2 linked regions of the Macaca mulatta genome follow. The protein of the gene in region 1 interacts with the protein of each later gene in a biochemical or structural test. Links are inferred from orthologs where the notes say so. Each region holds a gene or a part of one and is shown on either strand. Other genes may lie near its edges.

The links.
Region 2: the proteins of ITGB2 (region 1) and ICAM1 form a complex in vitro, tested with the Homo sapiens proteins (4 studies listed by BioGRID). The link is inferred for Macaca mulatta from reciprocal best matches to the Homo sapiens genes ITGB2 and ICAM1.

The regions. Positions count from the first base shown.
Region 1 is NC_133408.1:2,629,284-2,633,086, forward strand, and holds part of ITGB2 (integrin beta-2), read left to right. Parts: intron 1-1,787; coding exon 1,788-2,032; intron 2,033-2,516; coding exon 2,517-2,736; intron 2,737-3,116; coding exon 3,117-3,319; intron 3,320-3,803.
Region 2 is NC_133424.1:10,990,669-10,994,571, forward strand, and holds the start of ICAM1 (intercellular adhesion molecule 1), read left to right. Parts: upstream 1-1,618; 5' UTR 1,619-1,668; coding exon 1,669-1,735; intron 1,736-3,903. UniProt on the Homo sapiens protein: ICAM proteins are ligands for the leukocyte adhesion protein LFA-1 (integrin alpha-L/beta-2).

The sequences.
Region 1 (3,803 bases):
CCCTCAGCCCCACCCCACAGGGCAGGTGTCTGCAGGTGAGGCGGGCACAGGTCCCCACCCCACAGGGCAGGTGTCTGCAGGTGAGGTGGGCCCTGGTCCCTGTGAATGCTCCCCCAGTCCCACCCCACAGGGCAGGTGTCTGCAGGTGAGGCGGGCACAGGTCCCCGTGAAGCCTCCCCCAGCCCCACCCCACAGGGCAGGTGTCTGCAGGTGAGGTGGGTGCAGGTTCCCATGAAGCCTCCCCCAGCCCCACCCCACAGGGCAGGTGTAAGCAGGTAAGGTGGGCGCAGGTGGCTCCATCCCCACCCCCACTCCACAGATCGGGCGTCCTGGGGGCCCCCTTCTGCAGGAGGTGGGGAGATTTGGGATTGGAACCCAGAAACCCTCGGCAAGCCCTCCCCCGTGCTCCTGAGCCAGGGCACCAGCGATGCCAGCCTGTACTCTACACTCTCTGGCCATGGAGGACCCAAGGCAGGGGACTGGTGGGCAGGAGGACCCCCTCACCAGAGGATAGAGGCCCATGTCAGGGGCACAAGGAGTCCCCACTGGGCGTGCCCATGGCCTTGAGTAGGTCACTTTCTCTGCCTGACCTTCCTTGACCCTCGGAGCTGGCTTCTTTCTGTCCTTGGGGACCCAAGGCTATCAGGCTGGCAGCCCTGGGGCATGAGAGGCCAGAGAGCCTCCTGGGACAGGTGACTGCTTCTGGCAGCCTGGGCCCCATAGGCCTCCCTTCGGGAGTGCACACCCCCTGCCAGGCGTGGGCACCCCACCTCAGGGAGAAGCTGGGGACAGGTGGACCCAGCGGGGAGGTTCACACGGCATTCAGCCAGGAAGCTTACCCTGGGGCTGGATGGCTCTCCCCCTTTCCTTGCCTGCCTGGCGGAGCTGCTGGGCTGACCTCCCAGGGCTCTGCCCCGTTTGCTCTGGCCACCTCCTCCCCTCTCCAGACTGCTGTGCCAGTCCACGCCCCGGTGGCAGTGGACCTGCAGGTCCCTGCTGCCCCCAGCCTCCTCCCATTTCTCAGGACAGTGATGGTCTCTGTGGTCTTGGTAGTCTCTGGCTGTCCCCGTGCCTCAGTGCCCACCCTGCCCACTATCCTGGGTGTGCAGTCCTGGGGCGGCCTCTTCACGGGACTGTAGGGGTGACTCAGTCGAAACACTTGGCAGGTGTCGCGGGGTGCCCTGCCACAGGTAATCAGACGCTCGGTCCTGTGGCTTCCTCCTCTGGGGAGCAAGACAGCCCATGGCAGGGCCGTCCCTGAGGATGCCTCAGGGGCTCCTGTCTGCCCGCGTCTTGGTGACAGCTTCCACATCTGACAAAACCACTTGTCCCTGAGTTCTCCCACAACCTGGCCGGTCAGTGCACAAACGCAGGCGGCAGCTGGCTGGAGAGAGGGCGGGGCTGTGGCAGGTGGCAGTGCCAAGTCCCCGTTGGCCACCACGTGGGGCATGCAGGAGCAGACACCAGCCACTCACAGGGCACCGGTGTCGCAGCACAGGCCATGTGCATGGCAGCAACACAGCTGCACAGTGAGCCTGCCGAGCCGCTGCATGCTCAGGCCGAGGCCAGGTGTCTGCTTTCCCCTCGGGACATCCTGGGGAGGGAGCCCAGGGCCCCCGCACGTTTTGAGCACATTTAGTACATGGCAGGTCCTCAGTAGGCCTCGAGGAAGGCACAGAGAGTGTGCCATAGGGGTGTTCTCCACCAAGGGCAAGGGGCCTGGAGGACGGGGCGGCCGTCTCACATCACTGTGGGGAGCCTGACCTTGGAGCTCCTCCTGTCCCCAGGTGTGACACTGGCTACATTGGGAAAACCTGTGAGTGCCAGACGCAGGGCCGGAGCAGCCAGGAGCTGGAAGGAAGCTGCCGGAAGGACAACAACTCCGTCATCTGCTCAGGGCTGGGGGACTGCGTCTGCGGGCAGTGTCTGTGCCACACCAGCGACGTCCCCGGCAAGCTGATATACGGGCAGTACTGCGAGTGTGACACCGTCAACTGTGAGCGCTACAACGGCCAGGTCTGCGGCGGCCCGGGTGAGCCCGTGGGTCCCTGCTGGACAACAGCCGTCCTGCGGCACAGACTCGGCGTTGGGGGGTGCATTCTGGAACACGCAACGAGTGGAACAAAAAGGGGGGATCCTGAGGACAGACAGCGCAAGTCTCGCCCGGCCACTGGGCGTCAGCAGGAACTTGGACGACCCTGCACCCCGCCCTGCCTCAGTTTCTGTCTCCATGAGGGCAAGGGGTCCTTGTGGGGAGGGTCCACAGGAGGAACGATCACAGCCCTACCGAGGTCCCATTCATAGCAGGGCAGGGGCAGGCCCAGACTGGCCAGGAGGTGGCCACGTGGCTGACAGGGGCTGGAAGGCCTGGCTAGTGGCCCGGTGCCTTTTGCTCAGGCACATCCCCCAAGCTGGAGGAGGCAGGTGGGCCGGAGGGAGCGACAGCAGTGGGGTTTCGGGCGGGTCTCGGTCCCCAGGCCAAGCAGGAGCTTAGTCGTGCTGCCCCCGTCTTCCAGCAAGGGGGCTTTGCTTCTGCGGGAAGTGCCGCTGCCTCCAGGGCTTCGAAGGCTCAGCGTGCCAGTGCGAGAGGACCACCGAGGGCTGCCTGAACGCACGGCGCGTCGAGTGCAGCGGCCGTGGCCGGTGCCGCTGCAACGTGTGTGAGTGCGAAAGGAATTACCAGCCTCCTTTGTGCCAGGAGTGCCCCGGCTGCCCCTCGCCCTGCGGCGAGCACATGTGAGTGCAGGTGGAGCAGGCAGGGTGGGCAGGGATCCCTGCTCCCCAGCCACCTCTCCAGCAGCCGGGCTCACTCAGGGTCCCCAGTGAGCACCTCTGCACCTCAGGGTTCTCTGCGGGCGCATTTGGACTGAGGAGCCCTCAGCGGCCGCTGCACCCCTGTGCCCCCCTCCCTCCTGTGCGCACCTGCCATGGGCCCTGGGATCAGGCTCCCAGTTCACCCACTGCACCCCGCATCTGCCCCACTCGGGCCCCCTCCTTGGCCTGAGGACACCCCAACCCCACCTGCCCCACCTGGTGGACACACACCCAAGCCCAAGCCCCCGATGCCTGAGCCCCCGCACGCCCTGGCACCCACGCTCACGCCTGGCTCCCCACAGCTCCTGTGCTGAGTGCCTGAAGTTCGACAAAGGCCCTTTCGGGAAGAACTGCAGTGCGGCGTGTCGGCGCCTACAGCTGTCGAACAACCCCGTGAAGGGCAGGACCTGCAAGGAGAGGGACTCAGAGGGCTGCTGGGTGACGTACATGCTGGAGCAGCAGGACGGGTGGGATCACTACATCATCTATGTGGATGAGAGCCGAGGTGAGGCCACTGGGGTGCAGCGGGGACCGGCTCCAGAGCTCCGACTGCGGGGTCTCTGCAGAGGCGAGGGTGGTGCAGAAGCAGGGTCTCACCTCCAGTGGTGTGGGCCTAGCAGGGTGGGTGAGCCATGCGGGATGCCCTTGGTGGCATTGCAAGGAGGCCAGAGGCCAGTTCCCCCAACCCCGAGCAGCCTCCCTTTTCCATCCCCTCCTCACCTGACCCCGCATCAAGCTGGGCAGCAGATGGCCTGTTCCCTGGGGCACCGCTGCTCCACACCGGGCAGGCCCACCAGCATGCCACACTGCCCGGGCCAGGTCATCTCCCACTGGATGCCTCATGGGGCCAGGCTTGGAGTTGCAGGTCCCTAGGGGTGGCCTGAGGTCAGGCTGCTGAGTGAAGCTCCCCTGAGGGGATTGAAAGATCCTGGTGCTCGGCTTTCAGCCCTGGAAGGGCCCAGGGGCACCAGGCACTGCCATCCCCCAAC
Region 2 (3,903 bases), on another chromosome or scaffold:
GAACGGCGCCATTGTGGCTGCAAGTGGGACTTGGACCGCGCGGGGGAGCTCGCCGCCCGCGCACCTCGGGCTGGGGCGCGAGTCCGTAGAACCCGCCCGAGGAAGAACCCGTGGCGCAGGATTTTCCCAGGCCGTCTGAGGACCAGGGACGTCCCCAGTCCCACTCTGTGACTTTGCTCAGGCCGTTCCGGGGCGGGAATTCAGTACCCCTCAGCCCCCCAAGAAAAAAATAACCCCGTGGAAATTCCTTGGGAATGACCGAGGCGGGGAAAATATGCGTCTCTGGATGGCCAGTGACTCGCAGCCCCCTTCCCCGATAGGAAGGGCCTGCGCGTCCCAGGCCCCTTCGCTTCCCTTTCTGCTGCGCGACCTCCCTGGCCCCTCTGAGATCTCCACGGCGACGCCGCGCGCGCCCCACAACAGGAAAGCCTTAGGCGGCGCGGCTTGGCGCTTGGAGACTTCAGAGTCCCCAGCCTCGACGTGGTGGATGTCGAGTCTTGGGGTCACACGCACAGGCGGTGGCCAAGCAAACACCCACTCATATTTAATGCACGCGCCTGGGTTGCGGGAGCCTCGCGCGGAGGGCAAGGGTTCGAGCACCCCCTCTCCCTGCCTCACCTCGGAGCCTGGGGGCTGCCTTGTTTCCCAGCTGCAGGAAGGGGTTCGAGCGCCCCTTCTCCCTGCCTCGCCTCGGCGCCTGGGGGCTGCAGCCTCAGTTTCCCAGCGACAGGTAGGGGTTTCGAGCGCCCCCCTCTCCTCCCTCGTCAAGATCCAAGCTAGCCGCCTCAGTTTCCCCGCGGAGCCTGGGACGCCAGCGGAAGGGCTCGGCGCGTGGGGATCACGCAGCTTCCTTCCTTTTTCTGGGAGCTGTAAAGACCCTCCCGCGGCCAAGGCCGAAAGGGGAAGCGAGGAGGCCGCGGGGGTGTGAGTGCCCACGGGTGTAGAGGGAGGACACCGATTTCCCCGGACGTGGTGAGACCGCGCATCGTCACTCCCACGGTTCGCGTTAGCCGGGAGGTGCCTGGCTCTGCTCTGGCCGCTTCTTGAGAAATGCCCGTGTTAGCTGGGTGGGGACGTGACCCTAGGGGGAGGGGCACCCCTCAGTGGAGGGAGCCCGGGGAGGATTCCTGGTCCCCCACCCAGGCAAGGGGCTCATCCACTCGATTAAAGAGGCCTGCGTAAACTGGAGAGAGAGGACTTGAGTTCGGATCCCTTCGCAGCCTGGAGTCTCAGTTTACTGCTTTGTGAAATGGACACAGTAACAGTCCCCACTCTCCGGGGTAGTTGGCAGTATTTAACAGTACTTAATAAACCGCTTAGCGCGGTGTAGACCGTGATTCAAGCTTAGCCTGGCCGGGGAACGGGAGGCGTGTGGACCGGGAGCAGCCCCCGGGGTCATCGCCCCGCCACCGCCGCCCGATTGCTTTAGCTCGGAAATTCCGGAGCTGCAGCGGCCAGAGAGGGAGGACGACCCTGCTCGGCCCTGGCACCCTCTCAGTCCGGAAATACAGCAGCATTTGTTCCGGAGGGGAAGGCGCGAGGTTTCCGGGAAAGCAGCACCGCCCCTTAGCCCCCAGGTGGCTAGCTCTATAAAGGACCTCGCGCCCCACTGCGTCCCACTCGACGCTGAGCTCCTCTGCTACTCAGAGCTGCAACCTCGGCCTCGCTATGGCTCCCAGCGGCCCCCAGCCCGCGCTGCCCATACTCGTGGTCCTGCTCGGGGCTCTGCTCCTAGGTGAGTCAGGGGTGGGGATTGCCATCGGGCCAGCTCCGCAAAACTCCGGGAGGACCGGTTCCCAGGTCAGGTCATGCATACTTAGGTAGCTGTTTATGGGAAGGTGGGCTAGAGACAGCGATTGAAAGGCAACAGTCAGTGGGTTCGAATCCAGACCCTGCATCACCTCCACGTGTGGCCTCGGGCTATACATTGCAGCTTTGAAAAAGGGGGTTGGAGATGGAGGGGAGGGGCAGACCTCATTTTGTTGCCCAGGCCGGTCTTGAACTCCTGGGCTCTTGTGTGAGCCACCGCCTTGCTTGGCTAGATTGGGCCTCTTAAACTTCAGTTTCTCAGCTGTAAAACGGGAAACGTCATAGCAGCCACCTGGCAGGGTATCTTGGCCCAGCACAGCACCTGGCCCCAGGACTCAATCATGATGGTTTGGGAACTTGGCTGTGTGCCAACCCAACAAGGCTTAAGGGACCCCCACCCACTTCAAGATGTATATTCTGTTCCTCATCCTCTCTGCCCCTGGGGAAGTCCAGGGCTGCTTCTACTCAGGGGAATTCCAGAGCTGACTTATCCGTGGCCCAAGGCTGAGAAGTGGGAGGCGCCAGCACACCCTCCCCCAGCTCCAGCCTAGCTAGGACAGAGGGAAGGGGTCAGAGGATCTTTCCGGGTGGTGTAAGTTTGGGGAACCAGGAAGGTGGGAGATTGACAGCTTGGTTAACAGCTCAACAAAGCCTCAGATCCAGGCCAGCGTGGTGGTTCATGCCTGTAATCCTGACACTTTAGGAGGCCCAGACTGGTGAATCACTTAAGGTCAGGAGTTGGAGACCAGCCTGGCCAACATGGTCTCTACTAAAGCCCGTCTCTACTAAAAATACAAAAATTAGCTGGCATGGCGGTGGGCACCCGTGATCCCAGCTACTCGGGAAGCTGAGGCAGGAAAATCCCTTAAACCCAGGAGGCGGAGGTTGCAGTGAGCTGAGATGGTGCCACTGCACTCCAGCCTGGGAGACATAGAGAGATTTGGTCTCAAAAAACAAAGCGTTCTGATCCAGACTCAGACCCAGATCACACTGCTTTCTAACTGAGTAACCATTTCCCTTTATGAAATGGGAATGGTCCCAGAATCTCCCTTGGAAAATATATGGAGTCAATGTTCTCACACCCCCATCCAAGATAGAACAAATCCGAGACAAGAATCTTTGAAGTGGGGCAGTGCTGGGCTCAGACATTTTTTCCCACCTTCGGAGGCAGCAGAATCTGAGGGACCTAATACAAATAGGCCTGCCCTGCCGCCTGCCCTCCCTCCATCCCTCCCTCCCTCCCTCCCTTCCTTCTTTCCTTCCTTCCTTCCTTTTTTTGAGACGGAGTCTCACTCTGTCACCTAGGCTGGAGCGCAGTGGCGCGGTCTGGGCTCACTGCAACCTCTACCTCTCAGGTTCAAGCGATTCTTCTGCCTCAGCCTCCCTGAGTAGCTGGGACTACAGGCGTGTGCCACCACGCCCGGCTAATCACTGTGTTAGCCAGGATGGTCTTGATCTCCTGACCTCGTGATCTGCCCATCTCAGCCTCCCAAAGTGCTGGAATTACATGCATGAGCCACAGTGCCCACCGTGTAAGCCCCTTCTTTCTTTCTTTCTTTCTTTCTTTCTTTCTTTCTTTCTTTCTTTCTTTCTTTCTTTCTTTCTTTCTTTCTTTCTTTCTTTCTTTCTTTTTTTTATTTTGAGATGGAGTCTTGCTCATCCCGCAGGCTGGAGTGCAGTGGCACTATCTCGGCTCACTGCAAGCTTTGCCTCCTGGGTTCACGCCATTCTCCTGTCTCAGCCTCCGGAGTAGCTGGGACTACAGGCGCCCGCCACCACGCCCGGCTAATTTTTTTGTATTTTTAGCAAAGACAGGGTTTCACGGTGTTAGCCAGGATGGCCTTGATCTCCTGACCTCGTGATCCGCCCGCCTCGGCCTCCCAAAGTGCTGGGATTACAGGTGTGAGCCACCACTCCCGGCAGCCCCTTTCTTACCTGCCCTTACCTGCAAGATAGCCAGTTGCTACCTGCCCTGTGCTGAGTTACTTGTATTAGCAAGGAACAGGGTGGCTATACTCACACACCTTACAGATGGGGAAATTGAGGCCCAAAGAGGGGGAAGCTACGTGTCTCAGGGAGTGAGGAGCCAGTCTG